Linked DNA regions of Diceros bicornis minor. Each later gene encodes a partner of the first gene's protein in a complex. Links are inferred from orthologs where the notes say so. Each region holds a gene or a part of one and is shown in the gene's direction. Other genes may lie near its edges. The genes, in order: RIMS2 and UNC13A.

Region 1 (14,951 bases):
ATGCGGTTTCTTGAATTTCACAGTGTCTGGCAGAGTAAAGGACATGGACGAAGGCAGTTGGATCAGGCACCATCTAGATAAGACTAAAGCAATCCTCGCAGGCAGAGGGAGACATCTGAAGTACACAGCAGCCAGTTCACAATGCGGAAGACAAACCCTCTCCTTTTCTCTGAAAGCCACAATATTGTGGGAAATCTTGGATTGCAGGCTATTCCTAACTGTTACATTTGGGCCAAGACTTCTACAATCACTTCCTATATGCTTTCAAATAAACAACTATGATCTTTTCTTCTAGTTGGAAAGCTTGCTATAACTTGATCTTCTTGCACTGTATTTCAGCCTTTGTTGATGACTTCTATATCAATTACTATCCTTGTCTTACAAATCCTAGGCAGTTTGATTCATTTTTGCCATGAGTCTTCATTAAAAGATGGGCTCAGTATTCTTGGTATTCCTATTAGTAATTTCTGGATTCCAGCTGGGGTCAAAATCTTGTCCTAGGGAAGAATATAATCTAATCAGAGTGATTTACTCTTTTCTTTTTAATTTACTCTTTTCTAATGGAGAATTCATTAACTCTATTTCAACCAAATTTATTAAATGTCTAGCATGTAGTATGTAATTACAAGATGGTTATGACAGACTTTTACTCTAGGAACAAACCATTTGAATTTTATAGATTTTCTAAACCCATTACATATTGTGCATCTGAGCTTAATTCGTATTACACTAAATATAGCATGGCCACAAAATTTGAGGTGCAAATTGGGACACTTTTGAGAGTGAAAGGAGTTGCAATTAATAACTATATCTGATCAACAGATTAAACAAGAATTGTCCTAGGCAAACTGGGACAGTGTCAGGCAAATGGGATCATATTGTCACCTTAACTAAACATTCGATTCTGTTGTAATTGTTTTTTTGCATTTTAAATATGATAGTTTTTAGGGAGCAGTTTGGGTTAAATCTAACTATTTTATGATGCCTATTATATTCCAGACGCTGCAGTAAAAGCGTACTTAGATTTTAGTCAGGGAAACAGAATATATACATATAACCATATTAAGCAATTATATACAGTGGATTGAATACTGGACACGGAGCCAGGAGACCTAGATTTGAAAATTTGCCTTGAAATTCAGTCTCTTCCTTTGATCAAATCACTTAATCTCTCAGGCTGTTTTCTTACCTATAAAATGGAATGATACTAATTCTTTATAGGGTGGTATGAGAAGGTGGTAAAAAATGTGAAAGCAGCTAACATAGCTAACATAACAAACAAATGCTTGATAAAGGGTTATCTGAGTTTGTTGATTTCCTAGTTTAATGAAAGGCAGCCAGAGTGGAAGTTAGAGACTCTTATTCTCTTCCTAAAAACTTGTATTATGAAGAATTTTTTACTACCTTCCATGGCCAGTTTTGCCTCATTCATACCCCCATCCATATTGTTTTGAAGCAAATCTCAGATATCACATAATTTCATCCATAGGTATTTCGGTATGTATAACCAAGGATTCTTTATTTTTTAACATCATCACTATATCATTATTAATCTAAAAAACCCCAATAATTCCCTATTATCATCAAGTACCTAGTTACTGTCCACATTTCCAATTCTCTTATAAAAGTTTTTTCCAGTTTGTTTTTCTTTAAATCAAGGTCCAAATGAGGTCTACCAATCCTTGCACTTAGTTGATGTCTTTTAAGTTTCATTTAAATTATAGATTCTCCCTCCATCTCTTTATTTTTTCCTTGCAATACATTTGCTGAAAAAACTGGGTTTTGTCCTGTAGAATGTTCTGTAGAGTGTTCCACATATTGCAATCCTATGGTACAGTTTAATATGTTCCTCTGTTCTCAGTATTTCCTGTAAATTGTAGGTGGATCTAGAAGATGTTCAAATTCAGGTTTGATTTTTTTTCTTTTTTTGGCAAGACAACGTCACAAGTTGTGTTGTGTTCTTCCATCGGAAGCACATAATGCCAGGTTGATTATCTTTTATGATGTTAGCAGCTATTGCTATTTAATTGATATTTAATGCCTAGATCTATTTGTTCATTATGGGTTTTTAATTTATTTCTGATCTCATAAAAGTCACTTTTTTTTTTACTTCTGTAAGTGGTCAGAGTTGTAATTAAGACGAAGATGTAATTAAGGAAATAGTAACATTGTTATGTCTATATGTCCCAACCTCTAATATTGTCCTATTTCACTTTAAAGATGTGCTCATTGATTGCTAGGAGGGAACAAAAAATAGAAATAACTTTATAATGCTATAAATGAAAGATGACTAGAATATGGTTTTCCCGGATCCTTTTAATATAAATGGCTCTATGGTTTTTATGACATAATAATTAAAAAATAACATCCTATATTGCTAAATACACAAAAAATAATTAATAAAACTTATCTACACTAACATCCACTACATTTTTCATTACTTCTTGGCCTCAAATCCCAATAATTAAACTGTACTAATCTCTAGCTTCTTTTCTAGAAACAAACAATGTATTCTTTCTCTGAGGCTGTGCTCTTCTGTTATCACTAATGTAACACTGTTATTTTAATTTAAAATGACAGTACAGTCCTATAATCATAGCTAAGCACTTTGAGTTACTTTTCCACTTACACTGAATAACTTTTGATACACCAGTCATATTCTTCCACCCTGGTCAAGCAATAACATGCTGTCATCTGACAACTGGCAAAGATTAACAGTCAGCTGTGGCCACTGCACTGACTGACTCACCCAGGGATTTAAACCATGACCTTGGCCTCATTATCATGCTGTTATAATCTACTGAGAAAAAGAGCCAGAAAAATAAAATATGAAGACAGGAAGTAAAAAATTCTGCTATTTGTGTCTCCAAGCCTAAAGTACTGCACATCTGTGTCCTTTCAGTAATTCTATTAGCGGGTGTTTTAGATATGGATGGGGAACTAAAGGCAGAATATTCTCCTGAAAATCAAAGCTGATCATGTCAGTTCTCTGGCTAAGAAAACCTCCACTGGCTGTCTAATGACTGTAGGCCAAGTTCAAATTCTTCAGCAAAACATATAAGGTTGTAGCATAATCTTGCCACAACCTATTTCTCCAGGTTTATCTCTTGCTACAACTCCCTTCCTCCTTCTCTTCATACTCCAATAATGGTGATTTTTTTCATTATTTTGTGACTGCTCATGTAATTGTGCAGTGTATATTTATTGAGTCCCTATAATATACAAGACATATGGCCTAGGGGATAGGCCTTGGGGAAACTGGAGTGAAAGGCATATTTCTGGCCCTTAAAGGATTCATGGTCTAGTTGAAGAGACAGACAAGGAAATGAATGGCTACACCACTGTGTGACAAGTGCTATCTGTGAGCAAGGTATGTGCAGTGCTAAGAGAGCCTGGGGCAAACAGGTGGAAGGAGGAGAAAGGGAGGGATGAGCATATGGTGGAGAAGACAAAGAAGTTAGCTGACTGAGAGGAAGGTTATGGGAGAGTGAGTAGAAAAGGTGAGTCAAGCTGAGGGAATAGAAAGTCACAGAGATGAGAAACCACACATCCAGTAAAGTGCAAGTAGGTTGTCATGGCTGAAGAGAGAGATGTGATGGTAGGCTGGGTTGGAGATAAGGCTACAGAGGTAGGCAGGAGCTGAATCCTAAAGGAACCTATATCCCTTGACAAAGAGTTTAGATCTCACTTCTCTGCACCTGTGCTTCCCTCTTTTGAGAACGCTTTTTCCTTTTCTCCCGCCCAACTTAAACCAATAATGATGACAAATTCTCTCCCCAGAAATTCATTGAACAAGTATTTGTTGGAACACCTACTATGTGCCATGTACTGTCCTAGGTGCTTGGGATACATTAGCAGAAATCCTGCTCTATGTGCTTATATTCTAGTAGGGTGAAGTTGATGAGTAATAATAAACATAGTAGGTTGGGATATTATTCAACTTGGAGTAAAAGTAAAGTTGTCAGAGAGTGGCAAGTGCAAGGGAAAAAAGAAAAAGTAGGGTAAGGTAAAGGATGTCGGAGTGATCATGGAGTGGGTGGGGCAGGCTGGAGTATTAAATAGGAGGGATAACTGAGCAAAAATTTGAAGGAATATCCAAGTGAATATCTTAGTGAAGAGTGTTCTAGGCAGAGGAAACAGCTAGAGGAAATCCTAAAAGAAAGTAGTAAGAGATGAGGTCAGAGAGATCATGTGAGACTTGTAGGTCATTTAAGGAGGTTAGTTCTGACTGAGTGAAATGGGTAATCACTACAGGATTTTGACCAGTGGAGTGGTATGATCTGACTAATGTTTTAGGAGGCTTGATCTTTACGTTGTGCTGAGAAAAGACTGTAGAGCCACAATGAAAGAAGCGGGGAGATCTGTTGCGAGCAACCATAGAAATGCCAACTATCTATGTATATTCATGTGCAGTAGGAGAGTTGCAATGATTCCAAGCATTGTGAGGCAGCCAGATATCTCAGAAGAGTATTGAGTCCTCAGTAAATTCTAGTGATGTGATTATTTTAGTTTAGATATGTCTCCTATAACGTATTTAGTTGATTACAATTAAGTAGCCCTTACTTACATGTAAAAATGAAAGCCCACAGACTCACAGGCTTCACAAACTTGTGTTCCTATAGAAACTGAAGAAAGGACTCACATTTTGGAATTACTTTGTGGCCTGTCAAGAAGACCTTGAGAATTCAGTGATGAAGATGGCCAGTTACTTTTAAAGTTAAATAAGGACAATGCAGTTTCAACTCAACTTTAAACGTGTTCATGTATTTGAGGTACATACCCAAGTAAAACAATGCCACACAGAATACAGTGAGATGTGATAAACATTTTAGGTAAAATGCTAAACCAGAAAAAACAAAACAAAACACCTCTAAGATTCATATTGTAGTAAAATCAAAAGATAGAGATCTTTTGAAGATATTTCACTTTAGTTCTGAGCATACTATAGAGCATAGCAATGCTCAATCAGAGCATTGGTTATCTTACGTTAAATTGGGCCTACTACATCGAAAAGTAGCCCATTTAAAATTCTGTGTGATATATATTCTATCTATAGGATACATAAATACTGTGGCAAATTTTTATTTTGAAAAAGTGTATGAATCAGGATGGAAGGTGAATTTAAGATACTTCCACTCCCCAGGCTGGCCGGGCGGTGTAGTGGTTAAGTTCATGCGCTCCACTTTGGTGACCTGGGGTTCGCAGGTTTGGATCGCAGGCGTGGATAACGCACCACTCATCAAGCCATGCTGTGGCGGGTCCAATATACAAAAATAGAGGAAGATGGGCACAGATGTTAGCTCACAGCTAATCTTCGTCACCAAAAAGAGGAAGATTGACAGAGGTTAGCTCAGGACCAAGCTTCCTCACACACACACAAAAAGATACTTCCACTCCTAAAGATTCCCTTTAATAGGAAAAACATGTAGTTGTAGTAAAGAAATGTAAAAAGGAAACACAGTAAGAGTAAGCTCACTCACTTCTGCTTCAATCCTGTAAGAAGTCTGATGTTCCAGTGCTCCCGGCTCATGCACATTGTATTTCATATGCTGGGGCTATCTCCGGGGAGGTGAGAGGCAGTGGGAGTGCCAGGAGACAGAGCCATAGACACCCAGCATGCTATGCAACTGGTAGAAAACAGTGCAGGGTCCAGGACGTGACTCTCCACTGTAAAAGAAGCCAAAATTGTCCACTTTGGACAACCACTTTTAAGTTCACATTTTATGTATGTACTCAAAAGAACTAAGCTATTTTAAACTCAGAGTTTTAGCTTCAGAGTAATGTGTGTATTCTGGCTTCTGTTTTTGCCTGAGTTGATAGTTGGCTGGGGGGTGGAGGTGGTGTTACTTCTTCAAATCTGGCTCAGGAATAGTTGAATAAGTTAGAGTGTTCCACCCATCCTTTTTGATTATTTTTAGTTCTGCTCTCCTCTCTTTTAAAGGAGCTCTTAGTGTATTTTAGTAGCACTAAAATAGTAGTAGTAGGGTTTCCTAGGCTAAAGTCTCAGATACATGTATTTACTGGTACCTGTCATTGCACATGAGTGGAAAGGAAAATGTGGATATTATTAGAAAACTCAACATTTCAATTTTAGATAAAAAAAATTCAGTCTCTCTAGAAGTGTTCTTTTTGCTTGTTTTCGACTTCCCAGTTTCTCTTCCATTATCTATTTTGCAGTGCACATAGTGTAGTTCTCAACCTTTGCTATACATTAGTCACTTGGAGAACTTTCAAAACATACCCACCACCAGGGTCTTAACCCCAGAGATTGATTCATTTGATCTAGGATCAGACCCAGGTGATATTTTTAAAAAGTGACCCAGGTAATTTTAATGTGCAGCCAGGGTTGAAAACCGCCATGGTTTCAAATTGGAGTCAAATTATCTAGGTTCTAGTTGCAGTGCTGCCATTTACCAGCTGGCTGATCTTAGTCCTCAATTTCCCATAGAGTGATGAGGTTAGATAAGAGATCTATAAAAATTCTCTAACTCTAAATCAAAATGAAATATATTGGGATTCATATGATCTCATCTAGTTTGCTCAGCTCCAAAGAGATGAAAACCAAATTATTTGGAGTATGTGAGTTTGGTTTGAACCAGGCGAGTAATAATAACACCACAAAATAATAAAAAGAGCTCTTAGGCAAACTTTTCCCTCTTCCCTCTTACCAATTACAAGGTATGGGAGAAAAGAATAGAAATTTAAGCTTAGAAATCACAAGGGGCTTGTAGGGCTGCCTTGTGTGTCCCCAGCTCTCTCACATTGGGAGCTAGTCAGATGGTACCTGGGGAACAGACGGAGGACGGAGAGAGCTTACTACACACCAAAAAGGTAAACATAATACAAACCCCAAAGGCCTTAATCAGGCCATAATCTGGCTTGGTACTAAACAGCGCGAGTGTGGAATGCGGGGTAGGGATGTGTACATATATGTACACACACACACCAACTCTTGTCATCCCCTGCGCTTGCCGAGAGCGCCCAGAAGAGGGGGTGATCCCTGGCGAACAGCCCCCAGCCCGGTCCACTCAGGCCTCGCCTCTACCCTGCCCCGCCCCCACCCGGAGGGATGTCTGGGCGGCGCTCAGCCCCACCGCGAGCAGAAGGCGGCGGCGGCCACTGCCGTTCCCCGGGAGCTGATTTTCCGTCTACCCTCGACCTCTTTCACCGAACCCATCTCTGTGCTTGGAAAACCAGACTCCGACTCTAACCCGATCTCCTCGCTTTTTCTGCTTCTTTATGGACTAGGCCCGCCATAAAGGGTCAAAAGGACCGAAGCCCTTAGCCCAAGCGCCGGCTCATCCTCACTCTCCGAATGATCCTTAGTCCTTGCACCCTCACAGCCTCTTGTCTCCTCCTCATCCTCACACTTCACTCAGACAAACCCTAATTCCCCCAATCTCACCTCCCCACTTCTCCACGCTCTCCTACGTGCTCCCCTCGGTCCCTTTCTGCACATTCTTTCCCAACAGTCCTCGGTTTTCCAGAACTTCCACAGCCCGGTGCCCCACGTCCCCTGCCGCCGCGCAGTGTCCCAGGTCCTCCATATCACTTGCTTTCCCCATTTGCTAGACCTCCCTCTCCCTCCTCTCAGGTAACCCTTTGTGCCCCGCCCCCCATCCCTGGGGACCCCCCTCTCTCCACACTCACGCTCTGCCTCCTTCCAGGACCCCGCCCACGACACCTCGGGAGCCCGTCAACGCGCTCACTCTTTCATCCCCGTGCCCAGATGTCCCCAGATTGTTCCCTCCTTTCCAAAATCCCCGGCGCCCCCAATCCCCGGTCACAACCCATCTCCGGACCTGACACTCTCCCCCCAACCCCCCCCCCCCGCTCCCACTCCTTTACCTCCCGACCTGACCCACAGGGCACTCCCGTCTACCCTGGCTCACAGTCGTTCCCCGCTGCCGACTCCTCGGGCGCCCCTCACACGCTCACATTCTCCACACCCCCGCCCTTGAAAACTCGCCGCCCCCCTCCCCCCTCACACTCTTCCCTCCAACCCCTCCCCGCCTGGCCCCACCCCACAGATCGCGCCCGGGAGGGGCAGTCGCCGCCCGCGGGGCGCCCGCCGTGCCCGGGCCTGGGCAGCCGGGAGGTGACGCGGCCCCCGCGGGAGGAGCCCAGGAGGCGGAGGAGGCGCGGGCGGCGGCACCGAGCGGCGGCGGCGTACGGCGTGAGCCCTGGGCGCCGACTCCACGGACCCAAGGGGCGGCGGCGGCTGAGGGACCCCGGGCGGGCGCCTGATGAGGAGGGACCAGCGCCCGACCCTGCTACGCGTCGGAGCTCGCTTGCTCGTTGGCAGCCGAGGGGCCCTGGCCTCGGGACTCTCCGCCGCTGCCCCTTGTCATCCCTTCTCCGCTTTCGCTTCTCCTCTCTAGCTCGGAGGGATCTCTAGGGGCCGGCCTGGGCTCCGCGGCCGTCTCCCCTCGGTTTCTGGAGGGGTCCTCCTCCGCGGCGCCTGGGAGCCCTGTGACGCGTCAGCCGGCGGGACGGCTGAGCTGCTTCTCCGGGAAATTAGCCCCTGCCTCCTCACTTCCCTCTCCGCTCCTGCCTCGGCGCCCCTCCAGCTCGTGGGACGCTGCCTCCGGGCGCTTAGAGCGAGTTCCCGGGACTCCCCCCGGGGGCCGGTTCGCAGCTACCCCTCTCCCATCCCAGGCGGCGCGCGTATCCCCCGCCCCCGCCGCGGCCGGACACACTCGCGCTTCGGCCGGCGCGCCGCCCTCCAGCCCGCTCCCTTCAGTCACCCCACCCTTAGCGGGCCGCGCCACCTTACTCCACCACCCTCCCCCGCTGCTCCGCGCACTCCGCATCCCGGCCCGGCCTCCTGCTCTCCCCCGCCCCCCTAAACCGCTCACTTGCCAGCCCGTCGCCCCCGGGAAGAAGAAACATTTCCCGGAGCGCACTCTTCAGCCCTCCCTCCCCCCGTGCTCGCCTTCCCCTCCCCCCGGTCTTTCTTTCTTGGGGGAGGGGGGCTGTCGCCTCGGATTGAAGGCCATTGATTTGTATGTATTTGTCCCAGCGCCGGAGGCTGCCCCAGCCGCCCGCGCGGGTGCCGCTGCCGCCGCCGCCCGTGGAGTTGCCTCTCTGCTTCCCTAGCGTGGTTAGGCTCCACCAAACATGTCGGCTCCAGTCGGGCCGCGGGGTCGCCCGGCTCCCACCCCGGCGCCCTCTCAGCCGCCTCTGCAGCCCGAGATGCCCGACCTCAGCCACCTCACGGAGGAGGAAAGGAAAATCATCCTGGCCGTCATGGATCGGCAGAAGAAAGAAGAGGAGAAGGAGCAGTCGGTGCTCAAGTAAGGACCCGGCTCCATCTTCCCGCTTCCCTCCCTGCCCTCCGCCCCCTCGGCCGCTGCCGGCCGCCTGCGCGCCCCGGATCGCCGCCCTCCCTCCCACCGGCGGCGCCTGGGCCACGAGGGCTGCGGCCGGCGGCGGCCGCCGGGGCTGCTTTCTGGGTGTCACAGCGCGGAGGTGTGTGTCGGGGAGGGAGGGCGCCCAGGCCGGCTGAGGTGAGGGTTGAGAGCCTTTGGGCGTTGTAATTTTCCCGGGCGTCCTTCTGGCTTGCCCGGCAGGCCAGTTCGGCTCTGGGGCCGGGTGGGGCTGGGGCTGAACCCAGGCTCAGCGCGTCCTTTCTCCTTTCCCGCCGCCCCCGCGCGGAGCAGTGACTGGGGCAATGAATCCAATATGGCCGTGCACAGGTGCTCCCAGCCCGGGACCTGGCGGAGGCGCGCCGGCCAGGGATGCGGGCGCCGCCGGGGGCCCCTCGTCCCGCGCCTCCGCAGGGCGACTCTGCCCGCGACGCGGAGAAGAGCAGAGCTGCCCACGGTCGCCGCGGGCAGGAGGGCGGCGGTGCGGGCAGGGGCCTAAGCTCTGTCGCGTCTGGGGTGGGTGTGAGGCCGCCGCCATCTTCCAGCCCCTCCCCCTCGGCGGGTTCTAACACCCTGCACTCTTGCTGCTCTTGCTGTTTGCAACTAGTAAATCTGTTTAATCCTGAAGAGACTGTGAAGAGACTCCAGTTCCTACCATTACTGCCGTTGGGGATGCTTCCTACCCTGTGAAGTTCTACTATTCGCGCTCCTAGTCTAGGCAGCCAGGATTTTGCCCAGGGTGGGAGGGTGAAAGCAGCGCCCAGGCAGCGGTTTAGCGGCCGTGTAACTTCAGCACCAGGGAACTGTCCAAACGGATATCTGTAGCTCGGAGACTCCTTGTCAGTTTAGCAGAGATTTGTTTCTGCAGGTTTGCTTTTAAATGTTTTATAGTTATTTGATTTCTCAGTTACTATGTGAAAGAGATTGTGCAGATGTGTAACTTTTTTGTGTTTTTCCAACTCAACTTTTTTTTTTACTTGAAATGAATTAGTCGCTAAGAGATTACCTTGTCCCGTTTGTATGCCAAAGATGGGACGGTTCTTTTGTGTGTTATAAAATATACTTTTCCTATATTCTCCACAGAAACACACAATTGAAAGTGTAGAGTTCCTCTCTGAAGGAACTAACACACTGATATCTTATCATGTAAATTTTAAAAACAGGTTGTTGAATTCAGTATTCTTTAATGCACTTATAAAGAAACGGTTCTCTGTCTCTCTATATTTTCATAGTCTAATGAAAAATACTACTTTAAGTAATTTATTATAGGTGTATCAAATATCTGTACATATTTGAGAGAAATACTGTTTCTCAAAAAATATTGAGGGACTAGAACAAATGTATTCTGACATATTAACTGAAATAAAAAAGAATTGCTTCTTCAAAGCTAATTTCTGAGTTTGAATACTTGTTTGGGAATGTGATTTATTAGTAGGCTTGGGAAATGAAAAAAGGTTAAGAGATTTAAGTAGCTTATTTCAACTAATGGAAGAATAAAGCATTATCTTTAAAAGCTTTTTGAGCATACTCCTAACTTTGCTTAACTTTACTATATATGCTAACAATGCCAAGCTTTTGATGACTTAGAGTTTGGTAATTAGATATATGAATCCGTATTTTTTACTGTAATTGCTGTAAAATTAGTGTTGCCAAAATGAAGCTCAAATAAAATGTAGTTTTATTTCTTTGACCCATGTGTGTATTTAAATATACAATGTGTTTTTCTTCATAATATGCTAAATCGTGGTATTTATTGGCTAGTTCACTATAGTTCCAAATCTATTTATTGTTCTAATATATAGAAATTTAAATGAACTTTTAAGTATTGAATTAAGAATTACTCAAAATGAACAGTATATTAATATAGGAAAATGTTGTGGAAGGGATTTTCAGGTAGCTACATGTGCATATATTACATTTCTATGTAAACCTACATACTATGCAAATACGTATAATGTTTGTGTGTTCATATTTGCACAGTTTAGGTAGAAACAGACATTCTCTAAACATATATTCATACAGTTTATGAAATTACATTGATGAAAAATCTATTCATATTTATTTTAAATATTTATTTGTATTCTACCTAACTTAGTCTTGGAAGGGTTTATACCTCAAAATGGCCTGCATGGTTTCAGAATTATTTTTATATTCATTTAAAAAGAAGTGATTTGGAGGTTAAAGCATGATATATTTGAAAATTTAATTTTGAACATTCTTTAAAAATTCTTTTGGCTTTTGTAATAAGATAGGAGTAGGCAAGGAAAATGAGGAACAGAATAGACTTTATAATGGAATTATAATAGCGACAAATCCTTTTGAAGAATTTGACAATTTATTAAGTAATATATTATCAATATTGGGTATTAAGTTACAAATACTATATGTAAGAAAAAAATAGTACTAGTATTCTTCAATGATTATTATTTCCCATCAAGTTTTAGGGCCCATTTATCTGGTCCTGACTACACTATCTTTTGTTTCTCTTTAGTGATGTACATTTAATTGCATGTTAACATCTATTCTGAGAGAAGGTCATAGGCAGAGAGAAATAAAGTGAAATTCAAATTCATGTCTCCTGCCTTTTAACAACTACTTTAAAAGAGAAATTTGATGTATGAAAAAATGAAGCTGTGGGACGAAAATATTTTTGCATGATCTGTGAGTTTCAATATTTATATCAAGTATTCATAAAAAGTGGAATATGCATGCCTAAGGGCATCAAAGATGATATATTGGAGTACAGGAAGAAAATATTAAAACTTATATTTACATTTCTATTTTTATTTGAAAAAGAAAGAAATTAAGGTTTACTGATACTTAATATATAGATTGACAATATTCAGATGCATTTAATTTATAAATAAATATGCATATATTAAGAGGTTCATGCCTGAGATACTTTTAATGAGATAGGTGAGCCAGCAAAACAGATTGAGACTGCTACAGTAATCTTTCTCTTTAGGAGCCTGAATAATTAAAAACTATTTATATTTAATTATTAGCAATTTCTTCAAAGCCTAGCTGAACATCCACATACCCAGGAAATCTTCTGTCACCATCAAATAATACCATTTTACATGTGAGTGAGATACTAGAATTTTGGAAGCATTTCTATATCTCAGTAGGTCCCTCAATAGATCAGTAATTACTTTTTTTATCCTTACATTAATTCCTTTAACAGTTTTAGTTTGGATAACTCAGTCTATCAGTAAAATCTATAATGTCCTTTTACTGATTAATGTTTTTAAGCTTTGTCTTTCAAGACTGTAAGCTTCTTGAGGGCAAGAATAAAAATGTACTCTTCTTTAGTGTTTGTGTTTTGCAGCATCCTTAACACCTGCACACAGTGGGGGGTACCTAATAAGTGATGTTGGTTTGACTTCTGGTAATGTTAATAATGTAGTAATCAATTTTGTTGGAAAAATGAAGAATAATTTTTTTGAAAGAAAAGCATAATTTTTTAAAAGTTTATATTTTCCAGTGAGGGTTTTTTTTTGGGGGGGCGGTGTGGTATTGTGAAAAAAATGTATGCGGAAACCAAACCCACTGAAATCAATAGAAAAATATTAATTCAGTAAATATTTATTGAATTTCTACTGTGTGCATATCATAGTCTTTTAGATGAGGTGTTTTTGTAACAAATTAGAACTTATGTGTTTCTTGACATGTAAATTATCTTTTCATTCTCAGCTTAGACTTTCTGTAAATGTCAAAGGCATGATTTGATCTCCAAATAAAGGAAGACAACAAATAAAAATTTCTGTGATAGATCAAGGTAATAATTTAGCTTATATTTAAAAGATAGGTGAGCAGTTCTAAATTTTTTTTACTAACTTAATTTTAAAAGTACTTTCCACAGTCAATTTATAAACATCTTTATTGAATAGGTAATATGTAAATATGGTACAAAATTTCTTAGCTACCTGTTTCCCATAGCCAGGGGCAGCTGCTGTTGCCAATTTATTGTATACTCTTCCAGAAATATTTTATGCATAAGAGTAAGTATAGGTGTATATCAGATATTGTGTGTGTCTTTATATGTGTGTATGTGTGTGCATGTACATGTATGGGTGTATATGTGTAAACATAAAAAACACAAGTGTGTCCTGCAGTTTACTTTTTAGGAGGTCAGTTCCATACTCGTTAATATATTTCTGCCTCATGTATTTTAATGGCTGCATAATATCCTATATTATGAATGTTCTTTGTTTAACTAGTACCATATTTTGGGGCATTTAAGTTGATTCTAATTATTTTGCCATTAGAAACAATACTGTGATAAATATCTTTGTACCTATATCATTTCCTGCATGTGTGAATATACCCCTGAGATAAATTCCTAGAAATGGAATTGTTTGGTCAAAAGGTCAGTATATTTTAAATTTTAATAAATATTGAGAAATTTACTTTCATAGAGGAAGTATGCATAAGTGATATATACTAGGGAGACTTTGTCACATCCTTGGTGTGTGATAATCTTTGCCAATATATTGGTGAAAAATATGCCATTGTAGATTTAATTGCAATTTTCTTATTATCAGTGAGGTTGAGAGCTTTTTACATTTGTTTAGAGCCTTTTGAATTTCTTTTTCTATTGGTCATTTTTAATGATTTGTAGGAGCTCTTTATATGTCATTTGTTTTATAACCTTGTTTATGCCTTTTTTTACTGGGCAGGATTTTTTAAAAATGTATGAATTTATTTTTGTTTTACGGTGTTAGGGTTTGCAGTATACTTAGAATGATCCTCCTTATTCTAATATATAAAAAACTACTGCCTTTTCTTCTTATAGCCAAATGAAATTTTAAGAATGTGGCACATCAGATAAATGATGCAATTTAATCATGAAAACTTTTAAATAAAAATCATTATTGTGCATATAAATTACCATGGCCATTGCCAAAAATTGAAAACCTATAGTTTTTAGGGATTCAAAATGCATTCTAAAAAATTGATTGGCATTTTATGAGAAGGTACCTAATAAATTCTTTATATATAGTTTATATTTTAAAGTAACTAGGACAATTAAATAATATCTTTTTGTTGAAAATATATATTGATAAAGAACTAATTATACTGTATGAGGAAGAGAGAGGTAGTGGAGGCAAGTGTGGTGGACCAGATGGATTTTGACTTGAAATCTTACTTTACTAATTAATAACTGTAAGGTCTTGCTTACATTATTAAACTCTCTGAGCCCATGTTTCCTCATCTATGTTATCTGAGTAAGAACACCTACTTTGAAGGATTATTGTGATCAATATAGACTGTTTAAATGTCTTGGCACAAGTGGGTGTGCAATAAATAGTTGTTATTAACTGGTTATAGACAGCAGTCTCTTAATCTTAATATTATCATAGCATTCCTGGGTGAAATCTTCTCTGTTTTATATATATATATTTTGTGTGTGTGTGTGAAGAAGATTAGCTCTGAGCTAACATCTATTGCCAATCCTCCTCTTTTTGCTGAGGAAGATTGGCCCTGGGTAACACCCGTGCCCATCTTCTTCTACTTTATATGTGGGACGCCTGCTACAGCATGGCTTGATAGCGGTGCATAGGTCCGTGACCAGGTCCAAAC
Region 2 (15,319 bases), on another chromosome or scaffold:
ACCTCTGATGTGATATGACCGGAAGGGAACCCCATCTCTGTGATATTCCCCCCAAACCCCAGAACCCCAGTCTAATAATGAGAAAACAATTAGCTGAACCAGAATCAAGGGACTGTCTACAAATACCTGACCAGTACTCTTGAAAAGCATCAAGGTCATGACAAACAGGAAAGGCCTTACTCACAGATAGGAAGCGACCAAGGAGATAAGATGGCTAACTGCGATGTGGGATCCTGAGCTAGATCCTGGAAGGGGGAGAACATTGGTGGAAAGGCTAGTGAGATATGCAGTCTGCAATTCCGTTACTAAGGTGTCAGTGTCTGGGTTTTCATTTTGACATGTAACCACACACAAGATGTTAACATTAGGGAAGCTGGGTGAGGGGTATAGAGGAACTCTCTGTCCCTGTCACAGCTCTGTACCTCTGCAACTTTTCTGTATGTCGAAAATTTTCCCCAAATAAAAAGTTTATTTAAAAAAATAAGAGCCTCCATTCAGAAAAGGACACCATAAATAGAATCAAAACAAGCCACAAAACTGGAGATTTTTACAACACACGAAACCAACAAAGGATTCATATCTAACATGGATGAAGAACTACGAATCCATTAGGAAAAGACAGTCAAATTTTAAAAAATGAATAAAAGACTTGAACAGGCATTTCACCCTATGAAGAAATCAATAATCACATAAAAAGTTCCACCTCATGAACAATCAGAGAGCAAATCAAAACCAAAATGTGGCACTGTTTCACCCCTCCACTTTGGCACAAATCAAAAACCTGGACAATTCAAAGTGTTGGCAAGGCTGTGGAACAAAGGAGCTCTTATGTGGTGCTGGACACTGTGAACTGCTGGAACCACACGGAAACTATACATATATGTGTATATTTACACATATATGGAGGAGGACTGGCTCAATGAGCAGTGTAGGTCCAAGCCCAGGATCCGAACCTGCAAACCCCCGGTCGCTGAAGTGGAGCACTCTGAACTTAACCACTGTGCCACCGGGATGGCCCCGAAAAACAATTTGGTGTTATCTTGTGTGGCTGAGCAGGTGGCTGCCCTATGATCCAGCCATCCTTACCTGTGTGCACCAGCCTGCACTTCTGAGAATGGTCATAAAAGCTTCATTTGTGATAAACTCAAAGTGTAAACAATCTTAAGGTCCACCAACTGGAGAACAGATAAATAATCACTGGTGTACTCATTCAGAGGAATACTATACAGCAGTGAAAAATGCATATATTACAGCTGCCCACAGAAACTCAGATGAATATCAGCAGAATCATGTTGAGCAAACAAAACAGGTCAGTAAAGAATGTGAACATTTTATTTTACTCACATAAAGTTCAAAAACACAAAAAACCAAACCATGTATTGTTTGCTGATAAATAATATGGGGTAAAACTCTAAGGAAAATTAAGGGATTAAAAAACACAATCTGGGGTAGCTCTTCTTTCTGAGGGGAGGGACAAAGAGATAGGGGAGAGGCCCACGGGTTTCTGCTGCAACGGTGATGTTCTTTATTCAAGCCTGTCATTGCTGCTCCTTAGTCCTTACCTATAGCTAGTCGATAAGCAAGAAACACAAAATCAGTGAGAGTTACAACAATGGTTAACATTATTCATTACTATTCCAAGCAATTTCAGGTGTCAACTTACATAATCTCTCCTGTAACTCTGTAAGGCAAGTCCTGTTATCGTCCTCATTCTACAGAGAGGGAAACTGAGGCACAGTGGTCACATGACTTGTCCAAGGTCATGCTGGTGACTAGAAGCAGAACTGGGTTTTGAACACAGGCCTCACTTGCAACTACTCCCTGTACATTCCGTGTTTATGCACCTCCTTCCTGTGTGCTGGGGGCGGCAGCTCTGCAGGGCTCAGCCTCTGGCGCTGCTCTAGGCACTGGAGATACACCGTCCACAGGTTTGCAGGGCGCTGTCCCACATGGCACTGCCCAGCTGGATACGTGGAGAAGGCTCGGAGCAGAGCTGTGTCGGGGGGAGTCGGGGCCAGACCAGAGGAAGGGCTGGGGCCTGGGGGAATCCAGAAGGTAGAGTAAAGGCTCAGTGTGAGAGAGTCAGGGAAGGCTTCCTGGAGCAGGGAATGTTCAAACTGGGCATTGATGGATGAATAGGACTTTGCCAGTTACATAAGGGAGCGAAGGATGGGACCCAGTCTGAGTGTGTGCAAAGATTCACAGGCTGAATGGCTTGGAGAGAGTGAAACAGAGACACAGAGACCTAGAAAGGACGTGGCAGAGACACAGAGAGACTGGACAGAGAGAGGCTCAGAGGGAGACACATGACTGAGAGACCGGGAGACAAAGAGTCAGAGGAACAGAGAGACCCAGGGAGAGAAAGAGACAGAGGAACAGAGGCAAAGAGACAGACGCAGACATAGAGACAGAGGAATAGAGATATCAGGGAGAGCAGAGAGGCAGCAAAGGACTCGAGAGCCGGAGGGCCCGCAGAGCGACTCGAGGAGAGACGAGAACACGCAGAACCAGAAGGGAACGTGCGTGGAGGCTGCTTTCCGTCCCTCCGGGCGGGGAGCGCCCCCCCAGCCTGCGGCGCCCCCGCCCCATCAGGCGTCCCTGGGCTCCGCCCGCCGGCCCCACAGCAGCGCCACGTCAGGAGCTGTCCGCGCCCCGGTGCTGAACCAAGATGGCCGGCGGCGGAGGCCGGGCCCCGGCGTGAGCCGAGCGCGGGCTGCAGCCCCGGCCATGACCCAGCCCAGCGCCCGCTGAGCCCGACCTGACAGAGCCGGCCCGCCGGCGACTCCGGAAACATGTCTCTGCTTTGCGTTGGAGGTAGGAGGCAAGGCTGCGGGGCGGGGTACCGAGGGAATCCGAATTGGGCTCGCGGTCCGTGTGGATGCGGCTGGGCTCCTGAGGGGGTGACCCGAGTACACTCGGCTGGACATTTGAGGCGGTAGCCCTGGTAGACGAGTCAGGGCGCCTGAGGGGGTGATCCGTGTAGACGCAGCTGGGCTCTCAGGGGGTCCTGGTGGCTGCTGCCGGGGGTCGTGTGGGCATGGCTAAACGCGGAGGCCCGTGTGGACGCCAGAAGGGATCTGGGGCTCGATCTGGAAACCGTCTAGACTGGGGCATTTGTGTAGACCAGGTTATTAGCAGGTCTCTGAGGAAGGGGCTGGGCTGGGCTGGGTAGTTCGAATGAATCCTGCAAGGTACTCGGAAGGAGTCCTGTGCTGTGGGTCCTCATGGACGCGGACGGGGCTTGGAATTCAAAGAGGAGTGCCGGGGGAGGGGTCTCCAAGCCGCAAGCGTATACGATTTGGGTAAGGGGGCTTGGCCATCTGGGCAAACGCGAGCTCTAGGAATCCCCCAGCCCTGGGTGTGGAGAGGACTGGCAAGGGGCTGAGGAGACCCCTCCCTACGTCCTGAGAGGGCGGTGATTGGCGGTCTGGGGGCGATTTTCCGGTTAGCTCTTTGACTTCCCGAGTGGGGGCTGGGGGACCCGCCCGAGGCCTACCCTCCCCGCCCCCTCTAGCACGCCGCACCGCGTATCCGGCCTTCTCCGCAGGGAGCCGACCGCTTGGCGGCGCAGTGCCCCCTGCACCCCTCCCGGCCCATCCTCACCTCACCCACTTTGCGCCGAAGGGAGGGGGGAGAGGTGGGGTGGAGCTATTTTGGGGCCAGAACGCCATCTGCACCGAGGCCCACGCCCAGGCCCACGCTCTGCGTTGGGGTGGGGGGAGGGAGAGAGACTCTGGAGGGGCATGACCATGGGGGTGGGCATCACCCCCACCTCTGAGGCTGGGCTGGGGGAGAAGCCAGCCCACCAGGACCCAGGCGTCCCGGGCCCTCCTGCCGAAACGCAGGCTCTGGGAGACCTTGGGCGGCAGGGTGGTGGCGAACAGATAGTTAAGGCTTGTAGCGATCTCAACCTTGGGTTTTAAGGACTAAGGTCCGCCCCTCTCACTCCTACTCCCTTCAAGAAGGCTGGGAGTGGGGGGGTGGGAGGGGAAGAGGTGTGCCCGCCAAGCCTGAGATTTCAAGCTTCGGGAGACCTCAGGCAGCGGGAGTGTGCTGTGTGTGTGTGAGCGACAAAGCTGAACCCCGGGCTCCGCCTGGACCAGGGTGGGCACGCCCCGGAGCCGGGCACCGCCCCCGCCGCCCCTCCCCCTCCTTCCCCTCCCCCTCCGCCTCTCCATTCACAAACCCAGCCCCGCCCGCCCGCTCCTCGCCGCCGCAGCTTTCCGGGTGCAGATCGCGCCGCGCTGGGCCGGCGTGGACGCGGGTGTTCTTAAAGGGATAGGGGCCTCCTTTCCCTGAGCTCATTCCCGACGGGCGGGGCTGGTGGTGGGAGAAGGGCCGGAAAGATCAAATGTCAATTCTTCCAGCCCCTGGCCTATGGAGTTAGGGGAGGAGGGAGGTGGAGGGTTAGACTAGGCCTAAGGGGAGGGGAGGGGAACGTCCAAGCCCCCTATTGGCCTCTCTTTCTCCTCTAAGTTGCCCAGCGCTTGGGGGGTAGCATGGAAGAGGGGGCCAGTGTGGTTGTTCCTGGCTGATTCCTCCACCCCCTGGAAGGTTTGCTCAGTGAGGAGGGGGAATCTCACCCTTAACTCTGACGCAAACAGGAGGCTGGGCTTCGGGGGTGTTGTGAAGGGGGGTGGTAAGAAGGGCAAGGCTTCCAGAAACAGAGGCCTGAGGGAAGAATTGTATTGGATGCCTCTGTGGAACTTGCAGGGAAGGAGTCCCCAGCAGAGTGGAGGGGGTTCCTGAGAGGGAGAGGCTGGAGCTGAGGTGGGGAGTAAAGCCCTGAGGTGTGAGGGGAGCAGTACAATGCTGGCAGAGGCTGAGGGGGAAGCACTGGGAGGGGTGGGGGTGATGCCCAGAGGGGGAGAATGGGAGGGGAGAGGGGAGGGGCAGCAGTGGAGCTAGGCTGGAGGGGGCTTTCCATGGATCTGAGCTCATCCTTGGGGTTGAGGAAATACCTGGCCCCCGAAGCAGGGGCCCACCCACTTTGCCTGTCCCTGCACACACGTGGGCTGGCACATTCATACCCAGACTCGCCCTGTGCAGACAGAAATGCTTAGGATCCACCAAGGCTCCATGAAGACCACGTGCCTGTGACTACACATGCCTGTGGGAACACACACATACACGTATACAGGACGCAGTCTGCCACCACAGATGTGGCTTCTGCAATGCAAGCGTGTGTGTCTGCACGTGCACACACAAGGATGTAACACATGTGTTTGATGTGTTCACGATATCCACGTCACATAAAGATCTGCTCATGCAGGGGCCGGCCCGGTGGCGCAAGCGGTTAAGTGTGCGCCCTCCGCGGCGGCCTGGGGTTCACCGGTTTGGATCCCGGGCACGCACCGATGCACTGCTTGTCAAGCCATGCTGTGGCGGCGTCCCATATAAAGTGGAGGAAGATGGGCACGGATGTTAGCCCAGGGCCAGTCTTCCTCAGGAAAAAAAAAAAAGAGGAGGATTGGCAGATGTTAGCACAGGGCTGATCTCCTCACCAAAAAAAAAAAAAAAAAAAAAAAAAAGATCTGCTCATGCCCTAACTTGCAGGCATGTACCCATGTATACCTGTTAGGGCTCCAAATGCAGAAACACGCATGTGCACAGAAACCCCTGCTGAGGCACGTGTGTGTACACACAACAACACTTGCCTGGACATTTGGAGCAGCCCCTTGGAGCAGGCAAATGGTGATGCACACAGACACATGCTAATGTACATAGTCTCACATGAGCATGTACATGTATGCAAGTAAACAAATACACATGCCATACAACTGCATAGCACACACATATACATACCCCAAAGTGTGTTTCTGCCTAACACATCACCCGCAAGCCCACACATACCATGCCAGCGTGTCCCACACACAGTCACACCCCACTCCCCCGCGCACGTGTGCAGAGCCTTGCCTGCTCTCAGATGGTGCTCATGAGCACATGTCCCTCCACACAGGCACACCCCCATGTCCACACACATGCCTGCCCTGGTAAGAGGAGCAAATACACATGTGAGTGCACACAAAAGCAGGCTCTTGCGTGCGTGCCCTGCAACAACACATGGAAGCCCACCATGTACAGGCCTTCTCTCTTCCCCCACTTGTTTCTTTATCTCGGTGGAGTTCCATTGCTGACCGGCCCCCATCCACTCGCTAGGTCTTGGCAGAGTTCTGAGGCTGCAAATGCCAAGCACCACCTGGTTCCTTCATGAGTTCATTTGTATATTTACTCAGTAAGCATTAGTTGAGCACCTACTATGTGCCAGGCACTGTACCTGACTCTGGGAAGCCTGACCACTCCTGGGCTTATGCTGGTGGGTCAGAGTGGGAGGGGCAAGGAAGGGCTGGGGAGCCAGGGAGGGGCCGTACAGAGCCTTCCCTGTTCCGCACCACCACCACCATTTGCCTGGGTCTCAGAAGATGAGGGGGAGCTAAGCAGAAAGGAGATGGTTGTCTAGGTGGAGGGAAATGTGTGAAAAATCGTGGTGGTGGAGATTCAGTTCTAGACATTTCTATGTGCCTCACAGCATTTTGCCAGGTCACTCAATGTTTTAAAGGCCCCAGAAATATTTGATAAATGGATATTGCATGCAAATTAGTGATTGCATGTGAGAGTGAGTTTGCCCCACAACTAATAATAATATCAACAACAACCCCCACTTATCCTTCATTCTACAGGCACAGTGTTGAGGGCTTTTAGGCTCATTGCTCTCTTTAATTCTCACAGCAACCCATTTTACAGGTGAAAAAAACTGAGGCTCAGAGAGATTCAACAACTTGCCTGGTGCCACAGAGCCAGAGGTGTATCTGCCTGGCTTCACAACCTACTGGGAGTGGGGAGTGAAAGTGGAGCGTCCTCTCACCCCCAGGACCTGGGAGACACCCAAGTCCCTTCCGGGGGCTGAGAATCTGTCCTGGGATCACCTTACTTCATCCACTCAGTAAACAAACATGTCATGATCTCCCCACTCATCATGGCTGTTCCCCTGCTCCTCTCCCCCTTCACAAATCCCTCTGTCCTGACTGCCCCGCTTCTGATACCACTCAGTCAGTGGGGTGTGCATCTGGGTCTTTGGTCTCACCATCCTCATAGGATGCCCTGCAGGGTTGGCTCTGATTCATCTTCAGGGCAGCAATCTTAGCTGCTTCCATAACATGAACCCCACTTTCCTCCCACATACAGTGGACTTCCTCTGTGAGGTTGCAACCACGACATCCTCAGTCCAGCAGGTCCGGATTTGAATCCCTAAATCCACCACTTCCTGGCAAGTCCCATACCCTCTTCATTCCTCAGTGTGTCCATCTCTAGAATGGGCACATGCATAGCACCTACTGCCTAGGTTTGCTGGAACTGTCCAGTGAGATGAGGCACGCAGAGCCGTTGGCACGATGCCTGCTCTGTGGAAAAGTTCAATAAGTGTGAGCCAAAGACAGGAAAAATCAATGATGATGTTTTTATTAATGGGGACTAAAAGCTTTCTGGAAGGAGATCCGTGGGTGTAGAACATTTCCTGGGAGCTCACTGTGTTCTCAAGCCTGAGGAGGGCTCAGTAGTACACAGGGGGCGGAGGGGGGGCGCACAAAAGAGGTGCCAAGTTCACTGGAGGAACACGGGCAGGGACGGAGAGTTCAGCACCGCGGACAGCGCAGGGAAGGCGATTACAGGACCGCGGACAGCGCCTGCGCCTCGGGGTCTGGGTCTCAGGGCAGGGCTGCTGCAGGAGGACATGACGCCATTCCGTCAGTGAACGCTATTTGTGAGCACCTACTATGTGCCAAGCCTAGTTCTAAGTGGTGCTTGGTAGACAACAGAGACAGACACCCCTGTCGAGGAGCTTGGCGTGTTTGTTTCTCACACAGAGGCTTCATGTGGGCTGTGGCTCATTTTGCCCATGGACCGTGAGATGCATCTCCCTCAGACGCAAAGCCCGGGGCCAATGTCTTTATCACAAAGGCATGCCCGCCATCGACATCACATAGGAAACTACCAAGCGTCCTAGAATCTGTGTCTGAATTCTCTATGCTTCCCCCCCTCCCCCTTGTAGTGTCTTCTGACACTCAGTGAGCGTGTCCTGCAGGGGGCTTTCGGACTGCTTCCCTTGATGGCGGGATCCTCTACTCCCCCACCCCCACCCCGGCCTGGCAGGCCACCGGCCAGGTGCTCCCGGATTGGAGCCCACCTCAGTTAGAGTCCAGGGCAGGCCAGGCTAGGGGCGCACTGAGAAACCAACCAAATAATAAAAACGATAGTGACACTAGTCATGTTAAGGGTAATAATAATCGTAGTAATGATAGTGTAATAACGAAGATGCCAATAATGAGAAGATGAAAGGGGAGAGGGAGAAAGAGAAAGGAAGAAGAGGGGAGGCGGAAGGGGAGGAGAGGGAAGTGAAACCGATGAGCCCTACCTCGCCCCATTTCCCGGATGCAGAAACTGAGACCCAGAGCGTGGCGGAGCCTGAGTCCCTGCTCCCGCCTCCACCGGTTCTGCCCTTGCCAGCATCTGCATCTGCCTGTGCAACCATGTTAATCACGCAGCGCTGACGGGGGCCCGGGAACGGCGGAGGCCGCGCAGGCTGCTGACCGGGCGTGACGTGGCGTCTCCTGGCGCCCGTCAGAGAGCCGGCGGTGGGTGCCTCCCCCAGCCGCACTCCCCGCCGTCGCATCGGCCACGCCCTCCGCGCCCACGTTATAAAGAGTCTCGTTATAAATAGCTTCCTGCGTGTGACCAGGAGCTCGCCGGGAGGGGTGGCGCTTCCGCCCCGGTGACCCCGATACTGCAACCCGCCGTGAGCGGGGGAAGGTGGCAGGGCGGGGATGTGATGACGAAGGTGGTGAAGGCGACAGTGACAGGGTTCTGCTTACTGACGGGGAAGAGAGAGGAAGAGAGACTAGGTCCTTTCTCTGAGCCCCATGGGCCCCTCCCTGAGCCCCCTCCTTCCTCCAAGCTCTCTCCTCCCTGGACCCCTCCCCTGAGACCACCTGCCCCTCTGTGCCCTCTCCCTTGTTGCGTCCGCTCCCCCACCCTGAGCCTACTCCGCCCTCAGAGCTCCCTTCTCTTAGTCCCGCCCCTCCTCCCCCATCCCCCATCCCCCATACCCCACGGTGAGCTCCCTACCCCCCTGAGATCTCCTCCCCACTCTGAGCCCCCTTCCCTGATTCCCCACACCTCTCTGGACCCCCTCTCTCACCCTGTGTCTCCCCCTCCTCCCTGTGAGTCCTCGATGATGAACATACCTTGGTCTCCTTACCCTGGACTCCCTGAAGTGTCCTGAGGACCTGAGCCTGGCCTCAGCTGTTAGAGCTAGGGCCCTCCAGCAACCCCCACTGCCGGTGGACCCCAACAAGCCCATTACCCTCTGGCTCACGGAGGCTTAGGGAGGAGGAAAGGGGGTAGACGGAGGGAGTGGGGACCAGAGAGACAGAGATAGAGGGAGAAGGGAAGGAGAGACAGAAAGACAATGACAGAGTGGAGAGAAACAACTGGAAGGAGGGAGACAGGGAGACCCTCCCTCCAGAGGAGAGGATGGAGGACAGTCCTTGGTGGACTGGCTGTCCCTCTCAGCCCTGTCTCTGGTCTGTAAAAAGGGAACGCAGAGCAGGAGCTGCAGGGTGGGGCCCACTCCTCGGATCCCCCCAGGGCCTGGCACCTACCGCCCTCAGGGTCCCCCTTCAACTTTTCTCTCCTACTTCTGCCTCTCGTGTCCGCAGTGTCTCCCCTGCCTGGAAATCTGTGTTTCTCTCTCTTCTGTCTCTCTGTGTCTCTGACTCTCATGTCTTGTTATCCCCTATCCCCCTACTTCTTCCTCCCTCCTTTTCACTTCTCTCCCCATGTTGGTCCCTCTGTGTGTGTGCCTTTCAGCCTCTGTCTGTGTCTCTCCCTCCTGCTGGGCACAGTCCTAAGTGCTCCAGGGGTGAGGGGCTGGGGGGTGAGCTCCCTGTGTGCTGGGTGGGGCTGAGGGTATGAGAAAGGGTCAGTGGGACAGAGGCTGAGCATATGTCCAGAGAGGGGCCTTTGCACAAGTAGTCATGTACCTTGAGTGGGAAAGTGAGGAAGACAGGACATGGTGACAGATTTTGGGTGTGGGGGAAAGAAACAGAGGGGAGAGAGAGAGACAGAGAGACAGAGAGAGAGAGAGAGAGAGAGAGAGAGAGAGAAGGCCAGACCTAGAAAAACAGGGAGAGATAGAGACAGAGATGGAATAAGGCAGAGATGGAAGCCCAGAGAGGGAGGTTCACTTGCCCGCAGTCACACAGCACCATAAGTGGAACTCAGCTCCACCTGACCGCACGCTGAACCCGTGCCCACCTCTCCAGTGCCCAGCCAGGGCTCCATCTGCGTCCCACTTCCCGAATCCAGACCCAAGTGTGAAGGGCGTGATGCCCAGTCCATTTGCATTTACGGGTCTTTTCGGGGGAGGTTGGTGTTGGCATCGTAAGGTGCTTGTTCCCTCTCCTGCTCTGAAACTTTGGGGAGCTCACTCAGTGCTTCTGGGCATCAACCCCACTCACTCCCACACGTGCACATGCACACTGCCTGTCTGTGCTGGGAACAAACAGTATTTACTGACAAGTGTTTAGAGTCCGCCCCCCGCCGCTTCCCCGATGTGATGGGAATTCTCTCATCGTGGGCTCCATTCAGGTGCTTTTTCGAGACAGAAAGTCAAGTGATGGAGGCCGAGATGCCAGCTGGAGATGGGAGGCCGAAGCATTTGCCCAGAAAAAGACCAAACTTGACTCTCAAAAGAGAAAAAAGAACAGAAACACAGTTCTGTTTCTAGGAATTTATCTTTCAACTCACTTGCACACACTCTTCAAGACATACTGAGAAACAAAGCTTCTCAGAGGGCACAGGAGGCTGTCCTTTGTGCAGGAAATGGAATCCCGTGCCTGTGCGCGTGACTGCCGAGGCCCGGGCTGTCTCCCCAGGTCCACAGGGGCTGGTCGTGTGGCCGCGAGGGAGGGTGGGCGCTGGCGTGGAATGAGCCTTATTATTGTATCATCTTTGCCTGCTTTGGATTTTATAAAATGTGCATGTATTGCCTATGCAAATGAAAATATTCATTTGAAAAGGGAAAAGGGAAAGAAATTCGGAGAGCTGGAGAAGAGGGTTCTGTTGGGAGCACGCTTTGGTTGGGGGTTGAGAGGGAATGGTGGAGAGAGACGTTGGGTGCAGCTGCAGGGTGCCAGAGATGTTGACAGTGAAAGTTTAATATCCTGGGAGAAAAGCCAGAGGAGAATTTCTTTGAATCACCCGGGGCTGTGGGGTTATGTGAAACCTGAGAAACTGGACCGCAGGGGCCCTGAAATCTACTCGGGTTACGCTTTTCACAGGCGCGTTGGGCTAGACAAGCTCTAACCACCTCCCAGCCAGTTCTGGGATGTCTCTACGTGCACGATGGAGCCAGCTCTCTGGGCTGTTCTGTTCCACCTCGCCAGTCGCCTTTGAGCACTGGACCCCAAACCCTGGGAGCATTTGGTATGACAGAATGAGCTGGACAATTAGAGGAGAAGTCTCTCTAGCTTGACAGGGGAGTGGGGCCGTTGGAGCTTGTCCTTCTCTTCTCTGCTCCCCTCTCCTCTTCCCCAACTCCCCTCCTCCCTCTGTGCAATCCTGGAGGGCTTCCTGTGGGAGGCCTCTCCTGCCACCTGCACAGCTCCTTCTTTTGAATCTTGTTCAATTGTGGGTAAAGGCACAGCTCAGGGTGGTGGGGGGAGCTTAGGGAGTGGGGAGTCTGATGGGGAGGCGGAGGGGCAGGGACTGCTCCCAGGGTCCAAATCCCCTTCCGCCCCTAGATCTGCCTGTGCGCACCCGTCTGACTCTTCTCTCTCCCCCTCTCATCCCTGCCTCCTTCCTCTCCTTGTTGTTCCTCCTCTCCTGGTCTCTTTTCTCTGTCTCTGATTTCACCTCTGTCTTTATCTTGGTTTTTTTTTCCATTTGGTCTCTCTGTCTCTTTTGCTCTCTATCTTTGCCTTGCTCTTATCTCTGTCTCTTTCTTTCTGTGTCTCTCTCCTCCTGCCTCTCTCTCCCCACCCCCTGTCTCCCTTCCCTGTCTCTGTCTCTCTCCACAGTCAAAAAAGCCAAGTTTGATGGCGCCCAAGGTAAGTGGTGTCTATTCCTGCCCTGTCCTATGTTGTCTGTCTGTCTGTCTGTCTGACCATCTCTTGGAGAGACCGGGGAGGGGGGCTGAGCCAGTGAAGTGTCTCTACGTCTGCTGACCATCGCGGGGCGTATCAGACTTGGCCTGGGGTCCAGCAGTCTCCCTTGGCCCCCTCGGAGACCCCAGGGGGTGGGGCTCACCCTGAGCCAGTGGCCCTTCCCAGGACCCTAAGAAACAAGGTGGGGACTTTTTGATCAGGCTACATGTGGGAAAACTGAGGCTCAGAGAGGTGAGGGGAGTTTCTTATACTCAATTTTGTTCCCTTCTCTGGGGCCTCAGTCTTCCCAGCTGAAAACTAAGGCTATTGAACGTGGTCATTTTTAAGCAGCAGGATTAGGCATCGCCAAGTTCCATGCACCGAGTCCCTGCACCGAGGCCCCTCCCTGGTGCTCAGACGCTGGCAGGGGCACTGGGGGCTGGCCTTGGGGGCAGGCACAGAAGCGGAGCAGTATGTTGGACCTGGGGCGGCGCCAAGCACACGCAGCCCCTGGGGGATCACAGTGGGTCTGGAGCTTGGGACGGTGTCTGGGGGGTGCGCAACCCTTGCCCTGACCTCTGTTCTCACCACCGCAGAGAAATTCCACACGTACGTGAGCCTGAAGGTGCAGAATGTCAAGAGCACGACCGTCGCCGTGCGGGGAAGCCAGCCCAGCTGGGAGCAGGACTTCATGTTGTGAGTCCCCGGGCCAGCCCCAGCCGCACAGCCCACCCCGGCTCAGTCTGGCCCCTCGCTGGTCCGTGGGGCGGAGCCGCACAGCCAGCTGTCGTCTGAGACTCCCCTCCCTCCCCCTCGGCCCAGCGTCCAGCCGTCAGCTTTGCCTCCAAAGCTCTTCCCTTTATCTCGAGGCCCCCAGCCAAGTCCCCGCTGCCTGCCAGCCTCCACCCTGGCCTCCTGCTGACATCTGCCTCCCGCAATCTGTGCTCCTTCAGGCAGCCAGGGGCATATTTTTAAAACTGCAAATCACATCCTGTCACTCTCCAAACTTGCCCACGGCTCGTGGCTTGTCAACCTTAGAATAAAACCCACACGCCTCCCCCCAGCCACCCCTCCCAGACCCCGCCCCTGGCACCTCCTAACAGTGTCTCCCTCCATCTCTCCCAGTTCACCTGCCCCAGCCACGCCCACCTCTGCACCATTCCTCCAATAAGTCCAGCTTGTTCCTGCCCCGGGGCCTTTGCACTTGCTCCTCTCTCTCCTTCCTTCCCCCCCCCCCAACTGGCTCTTTTTTGATCTTCAGGTCTCAGCTGTGTCACCTCCTCAGGGAAGCTCTCCCTGACGGCCACCCCAAGCTGCAATTGAAGAGTAATTTCAGACCTTGCCACCAATTGTCATTTTAGTCATTTGTGTCATTTTTTGACACATTTCTGGCCCTACCCCCAGAGTGTGAGCTCCAGGAGGGTAGGGCCCAGTTGGTCTCTGTCCCCACTGTGACCTCCATGCCAAGCACATGGCCTGGCCCACAGTAGGTGCGCAATAAATATTGGCATAATAACTGAATGAATTCATGACCTGGACCCTCCCTTCAACCTGGAGCCCCCGGGGCCTCATATGACGTCCCATCTACTCTGATGATGGTCCAAAGCTTGCTCCGTGCCCTCTTCTGAGGTTGTGATTACGTCTTTTTGCCCACGACCCCAGGAGGAAGGGTGCTATTGTAATCCTCATTTTACAGATAAAGAAACAGGGCCAGAGAGGCAAAGCCGCCTGGTCAGTGTCCCACAGCCTGTATCTGGCAGAGCTGGGATTTGGCCCTGCGCAGAGCCCGGCTGGGGACAGTCGGTAGTGGAGGCCACGAGAGAACCGAGAGCTGGGGTCCTGGAGCAGAGGGGCTTCTGGAGAAGAAGGGAGGAGCTGGCCCTGCAATTCTAGGGAAGATTGAGGGGGGAGGTACAGGGTGGTCCCCAACTCTCCAAAAGCCAGTTACTGGATGACCAGGTCAGTCAACAGATACATTCAGGGATAACATTCCTTAAGATAAATCTTTGGTAACTTCAGTGAGTGGACGTTCACTAAGGTTTTCCCCCAAATCTGCAAATTTGCAGGGTGGGGCCTTCAGGGCCGGTGCTTAGAGGGGAGATCATCTCATGCTCAGGAGGATCCCCATTTGACCGGATAGAGATGACATGGGGAGGGATGGAGGCCCTGAGTGCCCTTATGCTGGGGTACTGGGGAGCCATGGAGGGTGTGTGAACCTCTTCCTTGCTTAGCCAGCGTTCTCAGGGTCTGAGGGCTTGAGGAAGGCCAGGCGAGTTGGGGGGCAGGAGATATGTGAGATCTGTCCCCACTCCTTCCCTACCAGCCTGGAACCCTGGTTCTGCTGTGATACCCTGAGCATGCCACTTAGTCCTCTGGCCTCAGTTTCCCCTCTGTGAAACAAGAGCCACTGTGTTACCCTCCAGTCTAGGATTCACGGGCCTGGGTTTGAACTCCAGTTGTCCGTGTATCCTAATGTGAGGGAACCGGCTGTCTGTGTCTCACCCCTCACTCTTGCCCCTCCTGCCCCTCCCCCTCCACAGCGAGATTAACCGCCTGGATTTGGGACTGACGGTGGAGGTGTGGAACAAGGGTCTCATCTGGGACACCATGGTGGGCACCGTGTGGATCCCCTTGCGGACCATCCGCCAGTCCAATGAAGTGAGTGGTGGACTGAAGGCTGGGGAGGAGTCCCTGGGAGGGGCCCAGAGGCCAGTGGCGTAAACAAGATGGATATTTATCTCCATACCCTGGGAATGTTTGGGTGGATATCTGCGGCTGTGGTGGCGGCTCCAAAGTCACCAGGGTCTAAACTCCTTCCATCTTGTTGCTCTGCCTTTCTCCCCTTGTGGCTTCTACCTCATGGCCCAGGATGGCTGCTGGGGGATCACCATTATATCTGCATTCCCATTAGGGGAGGGAAAGGTGGCAAGGGAGGAAGTTGCCCTCCTCGTTAAGGGCCCATCCTGGAAGCTGCTCATGGTACTTCATTCATATCCCATTGGCCAGAACTTAGTCAATTGGCCCCACCTAGCCACAAGGGAGTCTGGGAAATGTAGTCTTCAGCTGCATAGCCCTGGGCCCAGCTAAAAACGTATTCCTATAAAAGAGAGGAGAAGGGTCATTGTGGGCAATTAGCACTTTTTGCAGAGAGCAGGCTCCACCCGCCCTGAAGACCCAAG

The links.
Region 2: the proteins of RIMS2 (region 1) and UNC13A are in contact, whole or in part, in a crystal structure (PDB 2CJS), measured with the Rattus norvegicus proteins. The link is inferred for Diceros bicornis minor from reciprocal best matches to the Homo sapiens genes RIMS2 and UNC13A. Residues at the interface, in XP_063118965.1 of Rattus norvegicus: Asp102, Gly103, Cys104, Ser109, Gln112, Val123, Leu125, Ser127, Asn128, Lys129, Val134, Met135, Trp136; in NP_074052.2 of Rattus norvegicus: Tyr23, Ile36, Trp65, Leu69, Ile70, Trp71, Asp72, Thr73, Met74.

Annotation. Positions count from the first base shown.
Region 1 is NC_080760.1:21,612,652-21,627,602, forward strand, and holds the start of RIMS2 (regulating synaptic membrane exocytosis protein 2), read left to right. Parts: upstream 1-8,703; 5' UTR 8,704-9,120; coding exon 9,121-9,296; intron 9,297-14,951. UniProt on the Homo sapiens protein: Rab effector involved in exocytosis. May act as scaffold protein. Plays a role in dendrite formation by melanocytes.
Region 2 is NC_080759.1:5,530,767-5,546,085, reverse strand, and holds the start of UNC13A (protein unc-13 homolog A), read left to right. Parts: upstream 1-7,894; coding exon 7,895-7,901; intron 7,902-8,047; coding exon 8,048-8,063; intron 8,064-8,502; coding exon 8,503-8,630; intron 8,631-12,074; coding exon 12,075-12,104; intron 12,105-12,736; coding exon 12,737-12,836; intron 12,837-14,680; coding exon 14,681-14,798; intron 14,799-15,319. UniProt on the Homo sapiens protein: Plays a role in vesicle maturation during exocytosis as a target of the diacylglycerol second messenger pathway.